2 linked regions of the Lonchura striata genome follow. The protein of the gene in region 1 purifies or fractionates together with the protein of each later gene. This does not show direct contact. Links are inferred from orthologs where the notes say so. Each region holds a gene or a part of one and is shown on either strand. Other genes may lie near its edges.

Region 1 (7,363 bases):
AATGAAGCCTTCCAGAGCACACAATGATGAGGAAAATGGGCCCCTCTTCTCCATGAAGGAAGGCTGGAAAGGGAAAAAATGGGACATATTACCCATAATCACACTCCACTGCCATAGAATCATAGTTTGGATCAGAAGGGACATTAAAAACCATCCAGTGCCATCCCTGCCATGGCAGGGACACCTCCCACTGTGCCAGGATGCTCCAATCTCCAGTGTCCAACCTGGCCTTGGGCACTGCCAGGGATCCAGGGGCAGCCCAGGGCTTGCCCACCCTCCCAGGGAACAACTTCTTCATATACCTAACCTGCAATTCCCCTCTTTCAGTCTGAAGTCACTCCAGTTCCTGATGAATTGTCCCTCTACAACTTCTCTGTAGCCCCTCAGACACTGGAAGGTGCTGTGAGGTCTCCACACAACCCTCTTCTCCAGGCTGAACAATCCCAACTCTTCAGCTGTTTTGTTGTTTCTTTTACATCTATTCCATTTCTCTAGACTGCTGTATGTTATTTTCTCACTTAGAGCTAATTTCTCCACTCTTTCCTCCTCATTTTCAATGTGCTTTTATCTTATTTTTTCTCAATTTTTCTGCTTATTATTGGGTTTTTTGACCCCAGATATTCTGCTTTCTGAGGGGTGGTCTCTTAGGAAAAGACATCCAAGTATTTCTTACAAGCCTGTCCACTAATTCATATACACAATGTTCACAAACTCCTGTTTTCAAGTACTGCAAACCTACTCCAGGTGGATTGTGATGGAGAGTTTAAAAAAAAAAAAAAAAAAAAAAAAAGGACTCTCAAGTCTTTCCTGTCTTGGCAGTCCCTCCCTTCCTAAACAAAATAAAAAGGAGTAAGTTTTGATAATTTTTGATAAGCAAGAACTTGGATTCCCTTCATCCAGGCCCCAACTCGTGTGCAAAGTTTCCAGGTGAGGCAGGATGCTGGTGGAATCCCAGCCTGGAGGATCCCTAACCCGAGCCCCAAACCTCCAGCAGAGAACACAAGTTCAGTTCCTGACAACCCTTTCCAGGAAGAAATTCCTCCTGATGTCCAACCTGAACCTCCCCTTGCCTTTTAATGAAATGGATATTGAAGAGAACACTTTTGTACAAGGGAAGAACCATGCAGGTTATTCATTATCCAGATAAAATTAACAAGCCAAAAATATCTAGATGTTTGTGCTGAAAAATAACATTTTAAAAAGATGCCATCAACTTTTAAAGGACATTTTTTTCTCTGCCCAAGGTGCCAGAGCCAGCAAAATAAAAGTAGAGGATGACTGAGCAAATGCAAAACCTATTGAAAACTCTGTAATATTTTTAAGTGTTAGCAAAAAAACTCCTCAAAACCTGACAAAAACCCCAAACCCCAGGAAGTTACAGTAATGCAGTGAACAGTGTAACAAATTTCTGTGAGTTTTGAAGTTACCTACATTGAGAAACAGAGAAACTCTTCTGTCACTGCACTCACACAGACCAGAAAGAGATTTTAGAGGGAAAAAATCCTCAGGGAATGCCCCCTTGCTCCTCTTTGGGAGCGAAGCTGTCCTTCCTGACTGAGGGACTGGGCAGAGGTTGGCCTTTGAGATCTTGGAATTGTCCACCTTGGAAGAGCCCTCCAGGATCATCCAGTGCCACCAGCATCACCCAAACCCTGTCCCCAAGGCCACATCCAGACTCCTCTGGGACAATTCCAGTGACTCCAAACCTCCCTGGGCAGCTCATCCCAAGGCTTGACCACTCTGCCAGGAAGAATTGGGGGAAAATTTGTTTTCAGTCTCCAACCTGAGCCTCCCCTGGTGCCATTTGAGGCCGTTCCCTCTCCTCCTGTCCCTGTTCCTGGAGCAGAGCCCGACCCCCCGGCTGTCCCTTCCTGGCAGGAGCTGTGCAGAGCCACAAGGTCCCCTTGAGCCTCCTTTGCTCCAGGCTCAGCTCCTTCCCAGCTCCCTCAGGAACTCTCCAGCCCCTTCCCAGCTCCCTCAGGAACTCTCCATTCCCTTCCCAGCTCCCTCAGGAACTCTCCAGCCCCTTCCCAGCTCCCTCAGGAACTCTCCATTCCCTTCCCAGCTCCCTCAGGAACTCTCCAGCCCTTTCCCAGCTCCCTCAGGTGTTGCTTTCCACATCCCAGGACAAGAGCCACATTCTGGCCATGCTCAGAGTCGACGAGAGAAGTGTCAAAAGCAGCTCCAAGTGACCACAAATCCTTCTGGGGCTGAGGGGAATGAGAAAGGATCACTGAAATCACGGTGCCCCCAAGTACCTCCCAGGGCTGGAAGGTGCAGTTCCATAGATAATTTCAACTCACCTAACACCTCTCTGTCACTCCTGGGGTGGCCCCGCGATTTCCCTCCTCTGCCCTGTGCACCCCTGTCCCTGGAGAGGGACTTTTCACAAGGGGTGAGAAGATAAACAGGGATGGATTTAAGCTGAGAAAGAGAGGTTTAGATGGGATATCAGGGAGAAATCCTTCCCTGGGATGGAATTCCCAGAGCAGCTGGGGCTGCCCCTGGATCCCTGGCAGTGCCCAAGGCCAGGTTGGATTTGGGGCTTGGAGCAGCCTGGGAAAATGGGAGGTGTCCCCATGGCAGGGGTGGGATGAGATGATCTTTACAGTCCTTTCCACCCCAACCCAGTCTGGGATTGTGTGATCACACAATGTAAGTAAAATTCTCAACACTTCAATTATTTGGGGGGCTTTGGCTTTGGCTGCATCCGTTCTGCCAATCCTTGGCTGCTTATTTCAACCTTTTAAGCCAAGATAAAAAAATAAAAAAAAATTAAAACAGGAAGAAAAAGCAAATGGAACATGTAACATGTCCTAATTTCTCCAAGGAGGCTGGCTAGGAAATGAAATTACTAGATTAAAGTATCACACGTCAGAATTAAAGTATTAGATAAAGGCCAGACTCTACTTTTTGATCCTTGTGGGCATTCCAGAAACTAAAAAAAAAAAAAAAAAAAAAAAGAGAAAAAAAAAAAGAAAAAACCCAAACCAAACCAAAAAAACCCCCTTAAAAACCTCGTCACAGATTTAGGCTGGAAACACCAATCCAGCAGTTCCGAGGGGAAAGGAGCATTCTGTCAGCAGCTCGAGGCTCCCACACTGGGCTACTTATAGTGCATATTTTAACTCATTTTTTGAGAAATATATTGATTTTTTGAGGGGGGATGTGGAAGACCCCATGATGCAATTCCAAGGGGAAAAGAGCCTTTTATTCTGTGATTCCCTCAGCACCTTAAGGCTCCCACACCAAGCTACTTTTAGTGCATTTTAAAACTCATTTTGGGGGAATATATTGATTTTCAGAGGGGGGTGAGAAAGACCCCTGGATGCAATTCTGAGGGGAAAGGAGCTTTGCCTCAGCAGCTTGAGGCTCCCACATCTAACTCACTTCTGGGGGAATATACATATATATATTTTTTTTTTTTCTGATGAGAATTAGAAAAACCCTGGACAGAATTTCAAGGGGAAAGGAGCCTTCTTCCCTCAGCAGCTCAAGCCTCCCACACCGGGTGACTTTTAGTGCGTTTTAAAACTTGTCTTGGGGAAATACAGATTTTTTCCAGGGGACAAGGAAGACCCCCGGATGCAATTCTGAGGGGCAAGAAACCTTCCAGAACCCTGTGACTCCCCAGCAACGCCGGGTCTCCCACAGGGACGACTTTTAGCGCATTTCCCAACTCGTATTTTTTTTTTTTGGGGGGGGTGATATTTTTAAGCGTGTCGAGAAAAACGCGCGGACGCAATGCCGAGGGGAGCCTTCCCTCAGCGGGTTCAGGCACTTTAAGCTCCTTCCAGAGCGTTTTTTGGACGGTTTTTTGGGAACGCCTGGCGTCCCGCGCCCGGCCCCGCCGCTCCCCACAGGCGGCGGGCGGGAAGCCCCGGCGGGCTCGGCCTCGCGCTCCCGGCGCCCCCTGCGGGCCGGGGCCGGCGCCGCCTCAACCGCCGGCTCCCCCTTCACCGGCAATGGCGGCCGCTCTCCTTCCCCGCCCCGCCGGGGCCATCCCGGCCCGCAGCGCCGCCGACACCGTCACACGCCGGAGGGCGGGCGGGCATGGATCAGGAAAGAGGGGGGGAAGGAGCCGTTGCCATGGCGAGAGCGGCCCGCCCTTGCTTCCCCACGTCAGCGCCGTCTCCCGCCCGGCCGCGGGTGATTGACAGTTGCCACGGCAACAGGCTCGCCCCCGCCGCCATTTTGTCAGTTGGGTTTTTTTTTTTTAAATTTAAAATTATTTTAAAAAATTAAAATAAAATAATAATTTAAAAACCCCAAGAGCAAATAGCTCCATTTCCGCCAGAATCTCGGGGGGGTTATTATTTTTTTTTAAAGTTTATTTTTTTCTTCTCCTTCCTCCGACCTCCACCGCGAAAGGAAAAGGAAAAGAAGGGACGCAAAAAAAGTGCGCTCCGAGGGTCCCGCCGGGGATGCGCGGCCGGGCTTGAGGCGGCGGCGGCGGTGCGGGAAGCGAAGCCGGTTCGTGAGGAAGAAGGGAGGGAGGGAAGGAGGAGCGGGCGGGGAGGGAGGGAGGGGGAGGAGGTAGCGGCTGGCAGGCGGGGGAGGGAGGGAGGGAGCGAGGAGTTCCCGGGGGCTCGGTACGGCGCTGCGCTTCCCCCCATCCCCTCCTCCTCCTCCTTCTCCTCCTCCTCCTCCTCCCGCTCCTCCCGCTCCCCCCGCCGCTGTCCCCGCGCTCCCGGCCGGGGCTCAGGCCGCCGATCGCAGCCGAGCCGAGGCGAGGCCGAGCCGCCGCCGGGCGCTGCGCAGGTTTGGACCGCGCGCCATTTTGTGAGGGCAGCGAACAGCCAGAGCCCGGCCGGGGACCCGCCGGGCCGCCCGGGCTCCCCTTCCCCACCGCGGGCAGAGCCGCGGCCCGAGGGAGGAGGAGGCGCCGCCGCCGCCGCCGAGGCCCCCGGGGAAGAGCGGGAGGACGAGCCCGGCACTCGCCCCGCGGAGGGAGAGGCCTCGCCCCGGGAGAAGCCGCCGCACGGGTGAGTGAGACGCCGCGCCGCGGGACGAGCCGGGGCCGCCTCGCCCGGGCCCGCGGCGGAGGGGCCGCAGCGCTTCGCTGCCATCTTAGAGCGGGAGCGGCGGCAGGGCCGGGATCCATCCCCGCCCGCCCCGCCGCAGCCCGCGGCCTTTTTCCCCTTGGAGCGCGGCTGTGGCTTGCCGGGCCTTGGGAGCGGCGATGGAGGAAGGGAGCTCGCCCGGAGCCTCTCGGTGTTATGCGCAACGCCCTGCGGTGGGCGGGTGCGAGGGCTCGGGCCGGGCTGGCGGCGAGGAGGGCGGCAGGACTCGGAGCATCACCTGTTGTAGGGGAGGATTGGGATGCCCCCGGCACCTGTGAGGGGCCGGTGGGGCGGGTGGGGAAGGTGCAGGGAGATGGGGAAGGAGTTACCTGAGCGAGGTGCCTGTCATCCCTTCGGTGGGGGTGGGGAGGAGGAGGGAGCAGCGTTGGGAATAGACACAGGGACACGCAGGGACACACAGGCACAGGGACAGGCAGGGACACACGGGCGCTCCTCGGGGAGGTGGCGGAGGCACCGTCCCCGGAGGTCTTTAAGGAAAGGCTGGACGTGGCTCTCGGTGCCATGGGCTGCTTGACAAGGTGGCCGTAGGTTGGACTCGATGATCTCGGAGCTCTTTTCCATCATTAATGATTCCCTGAATCCGTCTTTTAGTAGCTGGCCGCGGCCTTTTAGGGATTCAGCTTTGTGTTGTGGGGAGGAATTGGGGCTCCTCTCGGATGCACTGGGTGCTCCTCTGGAGTGGCCAGAGTTCCCTCCCGCCGCCGTGGGATCACAAAACGCGTTTTAAAGTCCTGGAATTGGAAATTTAGAAATTGGTGTGGTTTTGGATCTCAGTCGGCTTTGAAGCTTGGGGTTTAGCCCCTCCAAAGACCAGGTAGGGCTTCTTTGATCATGTTTCTAGATTGCTGCTGTTACTTAGTTCTCCTATTACTCCACAGCCATCGAGGGAAATTAACATTTATTGTTATTTAGAATCAACAAAGGCAGAGTAACTCGCTACAAAATAAATCGACAAGCGTGTTTTTGACAGCCATCCTGGTTGAATCCGAATGAGTGTGTGGTGTTAATTTCTGCCAGGAGGTCCTTGAAGTCACACTGAGGTGGATGGAGTTTCATGGGGGCCCGGATTTGAACAAGTTAACAACTTTTTTTATTATCTTCTTGGTGTTTCCTTACCTTTTCTTCAAGAAAGGTGTGTGAAGTCAAAGAACACATAGATGATATCTGGTGATAAATCAGCAAACATTTAATTTCTGGTAGTACTCAATTCTTTGCTTGTAACCAAGCAGAATTTAACTTCCCTCCTTGGAATAGTCTGTAGCCCTAAAAAGTTTTGGTAAACTTGTTTCTCTCTTTCTCCACGCCGCCCTTCCCCCAACCTCTGTAGGTTGGATATTTTTGGAAAATTAATTATACTTTATAGAATTAGTATAATAACACTGAAAATAACTCTGAGCTAGTATTTGTTAACTATTATCTATATATATTTGGTGTGTGTATATATAGATACTTTTGTAGGCTATGCTTCTTGTTTTTGGCTTACATGAATTATTTAGAACTAGACTTTTTATTTGCAGTCTGAAGTAGAATATGTGTGTGAAGTGTTAAATTTACATTTTTTGCTGTGAATTAAAAATTCCATCCAAGTTCATGAAGCTTTTTGAGTTTAATTCATGGCTTTGGAATATTCCTTGGGTGAAGCAAGTATATCTTGTTCAAAACTGAAAGAGCCAGCAGGGTTTTCCTAAGCCAGGAGGGCAATAGGTCAAGAGTTTGATATTGTTTCCAAGCTTACAGGTAGGGTTGGTTACAGGAGCGAGCGTTACAGTTCCTGCATCAATACTTGGATGGATTTGGGACTTGTCATTGGCATCCCCTCCCCCAGCTGGACAGTGACAAGGATAATTTTACCTCATAGCAGCCAAGAGTTCTCCCTTTCAGTGCAGGATTCCCTTCCTGGTGTGAAACAAGCAGGGACTCACGGGGAATTTATCCAGTTTGGGAGTCTGGGGGGTTGTGCAGGGTGGGAATGAACACCTGAGGGCCGTAGGAGACTTTTGCAAAGTGGCTGATAGTTCAAACAAAGCTGCAGAGCACCTCTGGTGTCCGGGAAAAACTCTGCCTTGTCCGAGCTTTTCAAGTGACATTTAATTAGGACAGACTTGCTTACATGTGCCACATCTTAAAGTCACTGGACCACCTGCTCAGATGGTATGTGAAAAGAATAAACACACAAAACCGGAGCTTTTATTTGCCATGCAGGCATTTCACAGCTTCTTCTGAGCTCGAATGGGTGCTGCTCTGAAGACTAAAACCTACTGGTACCAAAAAAAGCACTT
Region 2 (7,542 bases), on another chromosome or scaffold:
TACATCATGTCAAGCAACACAACAGAAGGTCACAGCTGGGAACGTGTACAAACCATGCAGGCAAAGCAAGCAGCTTACCCTTAGTGTACACAAAGAGAGTCCAGCAGAAGTTGAAGAGATCTTTGACGCTGCACGGCACCCGTCTGTCAACAAGAGAAATAGGGGGAGAAGTTACTCTTCAGTTCCAGGAAGCCAAACCTTGTTCTACAGTTCAAATTTCATTCCATTTCCCTGCTTAAAACAACAGCTGGAGCTGCTGTCACAATTCCACACTAAGGCATAGTCTAAGCTACATGTCCCAAGTTCAGTTCTCACTGCCTGACAATGCCTGACCTTGCTCCACAGAGTGTCCTGCACACACCCACAACTTCTTAACCCTGTTCCCAAGCCAAAGGCTGCTTCTGGCTTCTGACCCTGCCACACTATTCTGCTGGTGTTGTACCTCCCACAGAACCCTCCTATGGGTGGGGAGGTGACAAAGGCTATATGTATTTTCCAGTGATGGCTTTTCCATTAGCCATTCCTTTGGAACAGGCAATTGTAGCTTGTACTACAACTCAGCTGCTGACTCCTGTTTGGAGCAGAACTATCCAAGCCCATGGAGCTGGAAGACCAAGGAAGACATGACTCAACCCACAGAGCAGCCAAAGCTGTGGTGGCACCAACCAACACTGCTCTGAGAAAGGAACACCAACAAAGCAGCCATCAGAGCACCTCCCCCTGCACTCTGCCTGTGGATGTGGAGCTACACTGGAGCACTGCACCAGAACAATGATCCCCCCTCACATCCAGAGAACCCACATGAACTGATAAAAACACCTTGCAGATCCACAGCTTGGCTCCCTCATCACGAAGGTTATAATCTCACTACAAAGCTGTCCCAGCCAGATATTCTTGCAGGGAGTATGGACAAGCTCCTTTCCGTAAGGCAGACATTCCATGTGTGCATTGAAGATGACACCACATGTTCCCAAATTTCTCAAAGAAATGAGCACATCAGCTGTAACTTCCCCCCATTTGGTGTTTCCACTCATCTGGCAACCACGGCAAACACCTGGCAGCATGGAGGTCACAGAATGTGACAGCCCTCGAGCAGACGGATCATGGTGTCACACCAACCTCCTGCCAGCACTGTGCCAAGACAGAACACTGCTGTGCTACTTCAGCTATTGCTGCTAAATGTTTGAAGTGTTGATCTCACTGCACCTTGGAGCTAACCTACCTCAGGGTACCTCTCCCCACCACACCCTGACACTCTCACTGTGGGACAGCTCCTGTGTTACAGCAGCTGCATATGCAGCTGACCTGAGCTGCACCCACCGGGCTCAGGGGTGGTTCTGCGCTGGCTGCATTTCAAAGTCAAAGAGACCCCATCACTCTGGAAATTAATTTTCGTAAACTTATATTGGGTATAACTCTTTCCAGGGAAAAATCACATCAAATCTAAAAAATACCTCTGCTTCCTGCTTCGATGTGGTTTGGAACTTTCTTCATAAGGGTTTTGAAATATATCAAAAAATATTGGTTCAAACTTTTTGAAAATCACAGTTGACACTTCAAAATTTCTCTCCAGCCTCTCAACTCGCTCTCGGAATTCCTGGGGCAGGTTTGACATGTCCATCCACTTCTTCATTTTGCTAAAAAACTGAATTAAACTTAAAAGAAAGAAGAAAAGTCTGTTTTCAGCTTTAACTAACTTCCATTCTAAAATTTTAAAAAATCAAAGTGCAACATATTTGCTCCTTTAAAAACTGACATAATTACTATGTAGGTTTACAATTTATTTTGATAAGACTTCCAAACTGCGTGTTATCAGCTTTTTGCCTTTTATCACTCTGGGGTTTCTCCTTGACCTTCTTTAACGCACGGGAACGTTAACTCGATGTGGAGGCTGTCAGCGTGGCTGTGTGGAGCAGGGCAGTGGTGAACAGCAAAATGCAGGCACAGCTCTGTGAGTGTTGAGGCAGAGGTAGGAGAGGGAACAGAACAAGCCAAGAGTCAATGCCCGTCAAAGTTACCTGCACAAAAACCTGACAGCTGGGGATGTAAATAACTGACAACTCCTCCAGCAGCTCAGCAGAGAGTGGGGTCTTTAAATGGAATGAGCAACATTCCGGGCTCCATGTGCCCAGTTCAGAACGCCAGTGACAGGGCAGCTGCTGCTGGGGCCGTGCGGAAGGTGAGTTCTGTGATCACCTGTGCTGTGTTCCCAGAAAAACCAGCGTCTGCCAGCACTCCATCGAGATTTGGCCTGAATCCTGAGTCAGGCACACGTTGTACCGGGATGGCACGCGCCTAAATGTTTGTGGTAAAATTAACTACGGAGAGAAACAACTGGCGTGTGTAGAACGGCTGCTGGTTCGACATAGGTGGTTTCCTAAAGGCTTGAAGTTGGAAATTACGCATTTCAATCTAATTTCCATCTGTAACAAAAGCGGACTTACTGCTTTAACCTCGCCGTGGCTGGCAGCGCTGGGAGCGCAGGCGAGGCTCCCGGACTAGCGGCTCTGGCAGGGCAGGGCAGGGCAGGGCAGGGCACTCCCGGCGCCGAGTGCTCGGCCCCAGCCGGGCCCGGCCCGGCAGGCGGGGCGCTCACCTGAGGCGTGCGGAGCGCAGGATGCGGGTCAGGGAGACGCCGTTCCCCTCCATCGGGCTGCTCCCCACCGTGGGCACGCGGCTCCGCCGGCAGGCGACGTACAGCGCGCAGGCCAACCAGTGCAGCGCTTCGCCCTGCGGGCACGGGCGCCGCGGTCACCGGGGCAGCGCCGCGGTCACCGGGGCAGCGCCGCGCCCCTCAGGCTCGGCCGGAGCGGGACCGCGTCCGCCCGGCCGGCCCCACCCGGCCCCGCTCACCTCCAGGCTGTAGGTGCCCCGCAGCGCCGTGAAGTCGCGCAGCGCCTCGGCCGCGCTCGCCGCGTCCAGGTTGAGCTCCCGGCAGAGCCGCTCCACGGCAGCGCCGGGATCGGCGGCCGCCGGGCGGGACATGGCGGCGGAGCGCGCGCCAAAACCGCCGGAAGGGCGGGGCCGCTTCCGCCGCGGGGGCGGGGCCGCGGGCACCGGCGGGGGCGGCGGTCGCGGCCGGCCGGGGTCACCCGGTGTCTGTCACCCGGTGTCTGTCACCCGGTGTCTGTCGCCCGGTGTCTGTCACCCGGTGTCTGTCGCCCGGTGTCACCCGGTGTCTGTCACCCGGTGTCTGTTACCCGGTGTCACCCGGTGTCTGTTACCCGGTGTCTGTCGCCCGGTGTCTGTCGCCCGGTGTCACCCGGTGTTACCCGGTGTCTGTCGCCCGGTGTCTGTCACCCGGTGTCTGTCACCCGGTGTCTGTCGCCCGGGGTCACCCGGTGTCTGTCACCCGGTGTCTGTCGCCCGGTGTCTGTCGCCCGGTGTCACCCGGTGTCACCCGGTGTCTGTCACCCGGGGTCACCCGGTGTCACCGTCTGCAGGCGGACGCTCGGTGCTGGCGGGTGCTCGCGGCCCGTTCCCGCGCAGGGCTCCGGGAGGCCGCGGCAGGAGCGGCTTTTCCTCGGGCCCCAGCGCCCTGGCACACGCGTGGCTGCGGCATCTTCTCGGCGGCCTCCGCGCCCCGCAGCGCCGGGGAGCCGCTCCACGCGTGTGCCGCGGCCGCGCTCCCCGGCACCCGTGGCGCGGCCCCGGCCCGATCCCGGTCGCAGCGGGCGCTCAGAGCGTTTCCAGGTCCCTGTTCCACTGGAACCGGCGCCGACGGACGGAGCCCCCTTGGGAGCGCTCGTGTCTATCGGAAGCCGTGGCCATGGAGACACCGCCCGCCCTCGTGGGCAGGAAAGCGGCTCCCGCACCTCTGGAAGGGGCTCTGGAAGAGTCACGCAGCGTCCGCAGCGCTGGTTCGATAGGGAACAGGGCTCTGAACCCGCCTGTCACTGGAGGATACCTGAACCACCTCCCTTCTGCTGGGAAGGCGTGGGACGGAGAACACGCGGAGCACGCCCGGAGCGGGTGCGGCGGATCCCCCGCCCCGGTACCTGCGGCGATGCGAGGATGCTCAGAGGATGTTCAGGATCCGGCCCCGCCGCACCCGCTCACTCGGCAGCCCCTGCCCTGCCCCGACCTCCGACCCCACTCAGAGATCCTGGGGTTGGTTCTTGAAAATGCTCTTCTGCAAAGTGCAGGGATCAGTTCGTGGGATCCGCGGGCTGGTGAGGCTGGTTCCTCACAGAGAATCTAATCAGTTTTGTGCTTTCCAAAACATAAAAACCAGCCTTAATCCAACATTCCATAAAACCCAGCCTTAATCCAACATACAAATCTATCTGGAAAATACTGGCCATAAGAGCATGGAAAACTGCTTGTCATAAGCAGACAGGAAATCTGTTTCATTTGTGGTATTGAGACTTTGGGTCCCACAGGTTTGTTTATTCCTTCTGGACCAGAGATGTGTCTTCCTCTAGGTGAGCCAAGCTCTGGTTTTTGTGCATCTTTTCCTCTATCAGAAATCTCTGTCCTTTTCTGAAGGGGAAAAAAGACACTGTGAGGTTTTCTCTTAAAGTTTTGTTTTTCCAAAGAATACAGGCAATTCCTGTACAATGTCTCCCTGTGCTATAGCACAGCCAGCTGAGAAACTTGACAACCAAGGCTTGGCAGGAGCCCAAAGAGAGGAGAGGCTGGAGCATCTGCCATGGCTCTCACTCCTCCCAGTTGCTCCTGCAACAGGTTCAGGACAGTATTTCTTGAAACCTGAAGGCTAATGCTGGGCTTGCCTGAACCGATGTATTCAGGCAGGCTGGGACTGAGTTCCAAGTTAAACCAGTAATGTCACATCTCATCCAGACCACTGGCAAATGGAGCCAGGTAGTCGTGCTGTATGGAGTTGTTCATTAATAAAAATCCCACTGGAGGGAGAACAAGGCCACTTGGGGAATGAGACATCTTCTGCTTGGGCTGAAGATCTTGCATTGTTTTATACCTCTTGAGGTGAAATCTTGATTCTTCAGAAATTAGTGCCACCTATGGCACTGCACCAAAGGCCTCCAGGCACCCCTGGGAGCACCATGAAACAACGAGCATCCCCAAAAGCCATGTGGGAGAGTGAGGATGATGTTCCTAGGCCTGCTGTCCAAACGTACAAGGCACACTGTGCAGATTGACGGGAAGGGGATTGAGAGAGAAGCTGGATTTCTCCTCCCTCTGCTTTCCCAGAGATGCTGCTCTGCAGCACTGGCAGCACTCTTTCCTGGCAGCACTGCCTGCTGTCTGGTGCCCATGGCCGAGCATGGGTGCTATGGGCAGCTGGGCACTGCCACACGGGGCGTGAAGCATCTGGGGGCTTCACCTGTAGCCTAGTCCCTGGAAACTTCTTTGAGGTTGTAAAATGTGAGGAGATTCCTCACATTTGATCTCGTGACTCAGCCTGTGCTCCAGAGCTCTGGGGCTGAAGTAGCTCCTTGAAGAGGTGAGGAACAAAACTGCACTGAAAAGCTCAAATTTAAATGCAAACCAGATGTCATTAGAGAAATTGCCTTCTGCTCACTGCTGACCAAGATTTCCAACCCCAAATCCTTTCTTGTAACTGTCAAGAGCCCAGAGTGGGTACATCTGCACCCAGGGTAGGTAAAGTTCCTCCAACCATGGCTCAGTACTGAGGAAAATTCTTCCCCCCTTTTTTGTGACTATAAAGGGAATTAGAGATCCTGTCTAAATGTGTGATGAGACTTCTGTCAGATAAAAACCAGGCAAGGACAGCAGGGATGTGCAGCTGTGCCTGTTTTACTCTCTCCAGGAAGCGGCACTTGTATCCTGTAAAACACAATAGGGAGCAAGCTGTGCCCACAGTGCCCATCCTCCACCACATCCACTCAGTGCTGCAAGCAGGAAGCACACCTTGTCTGAAGAGACAGAGACCAGCCACCACTGATGTGACAGCTCAAAGCCAGCACATGCTCCTCCAGGGCCCTCCTGCTGTAGCCTCTGCCAGCAAATATCCTGCATTATGGATGCCGAGCACAAGGATGCAGTGTGTGGAGCCAGATTTTAAAGAGAGATTCTGGAACTGGAAATTCATAGCTCATGATACCATTTTGCCAGTCTTTTCTGTGGGGTACTTTTCTATTCTTCCTCCCCAAAGGAGCAACAAAATACCAGGACAAGGTGCTTACACAGAGCAGGTGGAGCAGTAAAAGCACTGCTTTTACTCTGTGTCTTTTTTCCTGGATCTTGGAAGAATAGAGCTGGTCCTACATATCATTCTGACGAAACACTGACGAATGTCTGCTTTGCTAAAGCCTGAGATCCTTACACAGAGATTTAGGACAAGCATTTCACAGAACTTGGAGGTACAGGAAGCACAGGGAGAGGAGCCCAGCACCCCCAGTACCCCACCTGCTGTGAGGGGCTGTGCACATGCCAAGGGGTGTAACTGCTTGGAGGGTGGGGGTGTGTGAGACAACTGTGGAGGCCTCTGGACTTTTGCCCACCCTTGCGGAAAAAGCATGTCAGCAGAGAGCCCTGGTACATCCTCTGTGCTTAAACTGTCCCTGGAGCTTGGGCTGCTCCTGGCATCTTGCAACCCACGTGGAACATGAGTTCCCTCAGGCTGGCGAGTTCACCCAGGGCGCAGTGGGAGCTGCAGCTTCGCCCCCTCGCAGCCAGCAGCAGAGTAACACACAGGGCACCAGGAGCAGCCTAGAGCAGTGACCAGGCAGCTGCTTTCAACAGCTTCTCAATGGGATCATGCTGAGAAAAAGGCAAGTCACGTTTATCACTGAGTCAGGTGAATTAAACATTCACATATATTTGCTGAAAAAAATTATATACATCTGTAGCAAGGCTCTCCCAAGTCTGAAAGATAAGCATCCTCTAGTCACTGAATTAAAAAAATAAAAATCTGACTTTTAAATATTTTTCTTTTTATCCATGTTCAAGAGCACAGACAGTTTATTTTGTTAGCACATTTTGTGAAGGATGTATGTGTGTGAATAGCCATGAAAACCAGTCAAAATTTGGCATTTGTTTGGGATATGATGGAAAAGAAGAAGCAGCCACTTAACGCCTTACAGTCTAAATAATCCACAGAGTATATCGGGTTGCAAAAGGGTCACAAAGTAGCAAAGAGAAGCCTAAACACCCAGAGACGTAGCATACATGTCTGCTAAGGAAGAACAAGGTATAGAGCATGCTGACTAATTAAATAAATTCCACTTTAGACCCTGTTCCTTATCCATGTAACCCTGGAAAAATCATCCCATAACAAGAAGTGGACTCGGAAGAGATTTCTGTATCCATTCACAGTAAGGCTTTGAAGATATATGAAGTTTTATAGCATTTGTATTTTAAGGATTTAGGGCAAGTACATGTTCTTCCACTGAATAAAAACAAAGTTAGTACTTAAAAGGTTCAAAAATATATCAATTGTGACTTTTCTTTACATAAATAAATTATATTGATTTTGGATTTAACAGCTGAAAAAACCCTTTCTGCTTCCACTGGAGGCAAAAACTGAACAAAATGTTAGTTAAATAGAGATAGCAGCATTTCTAAGAAATCTGTCGACAGTGATACAGTATCTATGCT

The links.
Region 2: the proteins of DYRK1A (region 1) and RBL1 purify together in Homo sapiens (affinity purification with mass spectrometry; 3 studies listed by BioGRID and IntAct, with this or other methods). This does not show direct contact. The link is inferred for Lonchura striata from reciprocal best matches to the Homo sapiens genes DYRK1A and RBL1.

What each region holds. Positions count from the first base shown.
Region 1 is NC_134604.1:114,752,504-114,759,866, reverse strand, and holds the start of DYRK1A (dual specificity tyrosine-phosphorylation-regulated kinase 1A), read left to right. Parts: upstream 1-4,356; 5' UTR 4,357-4,473; intron 4,474-4,691; exon of another isoform or gene 4,692-4,985; intron 4,986-7,363. UniProt on the Homo sapiens protein: Dual-specificity kinase which possesses both serine/threonine and tyrosine kinase activities. Exhibits a substrate preference for proline at position P+1 and arginine at position P-3.
Region 2 is NC_134619.1:14,350,073-14,357,614, forward strand, and holds the start of RBL1 (retinoblastoma-like protein 1), read right to left. Parts: upstream 3,007-7,542; 5' UTR 2,986-3,006; coding exon 2,854-2,985; intron 2,731-2,853; coding exon 2,597-2,730; intron 1,656-2,596; coding exon 1,455-1,655; intron 144-1,454; coding exon 79-143; intron 1-78. UniProt on the Homo sapiens protein: Key regulator of entry into cell division. Directly involved in heterochromatin formation by maintaining overall chromatin structure and, in particular, that of constitutive heterochromatin by stabilizing histone methylation.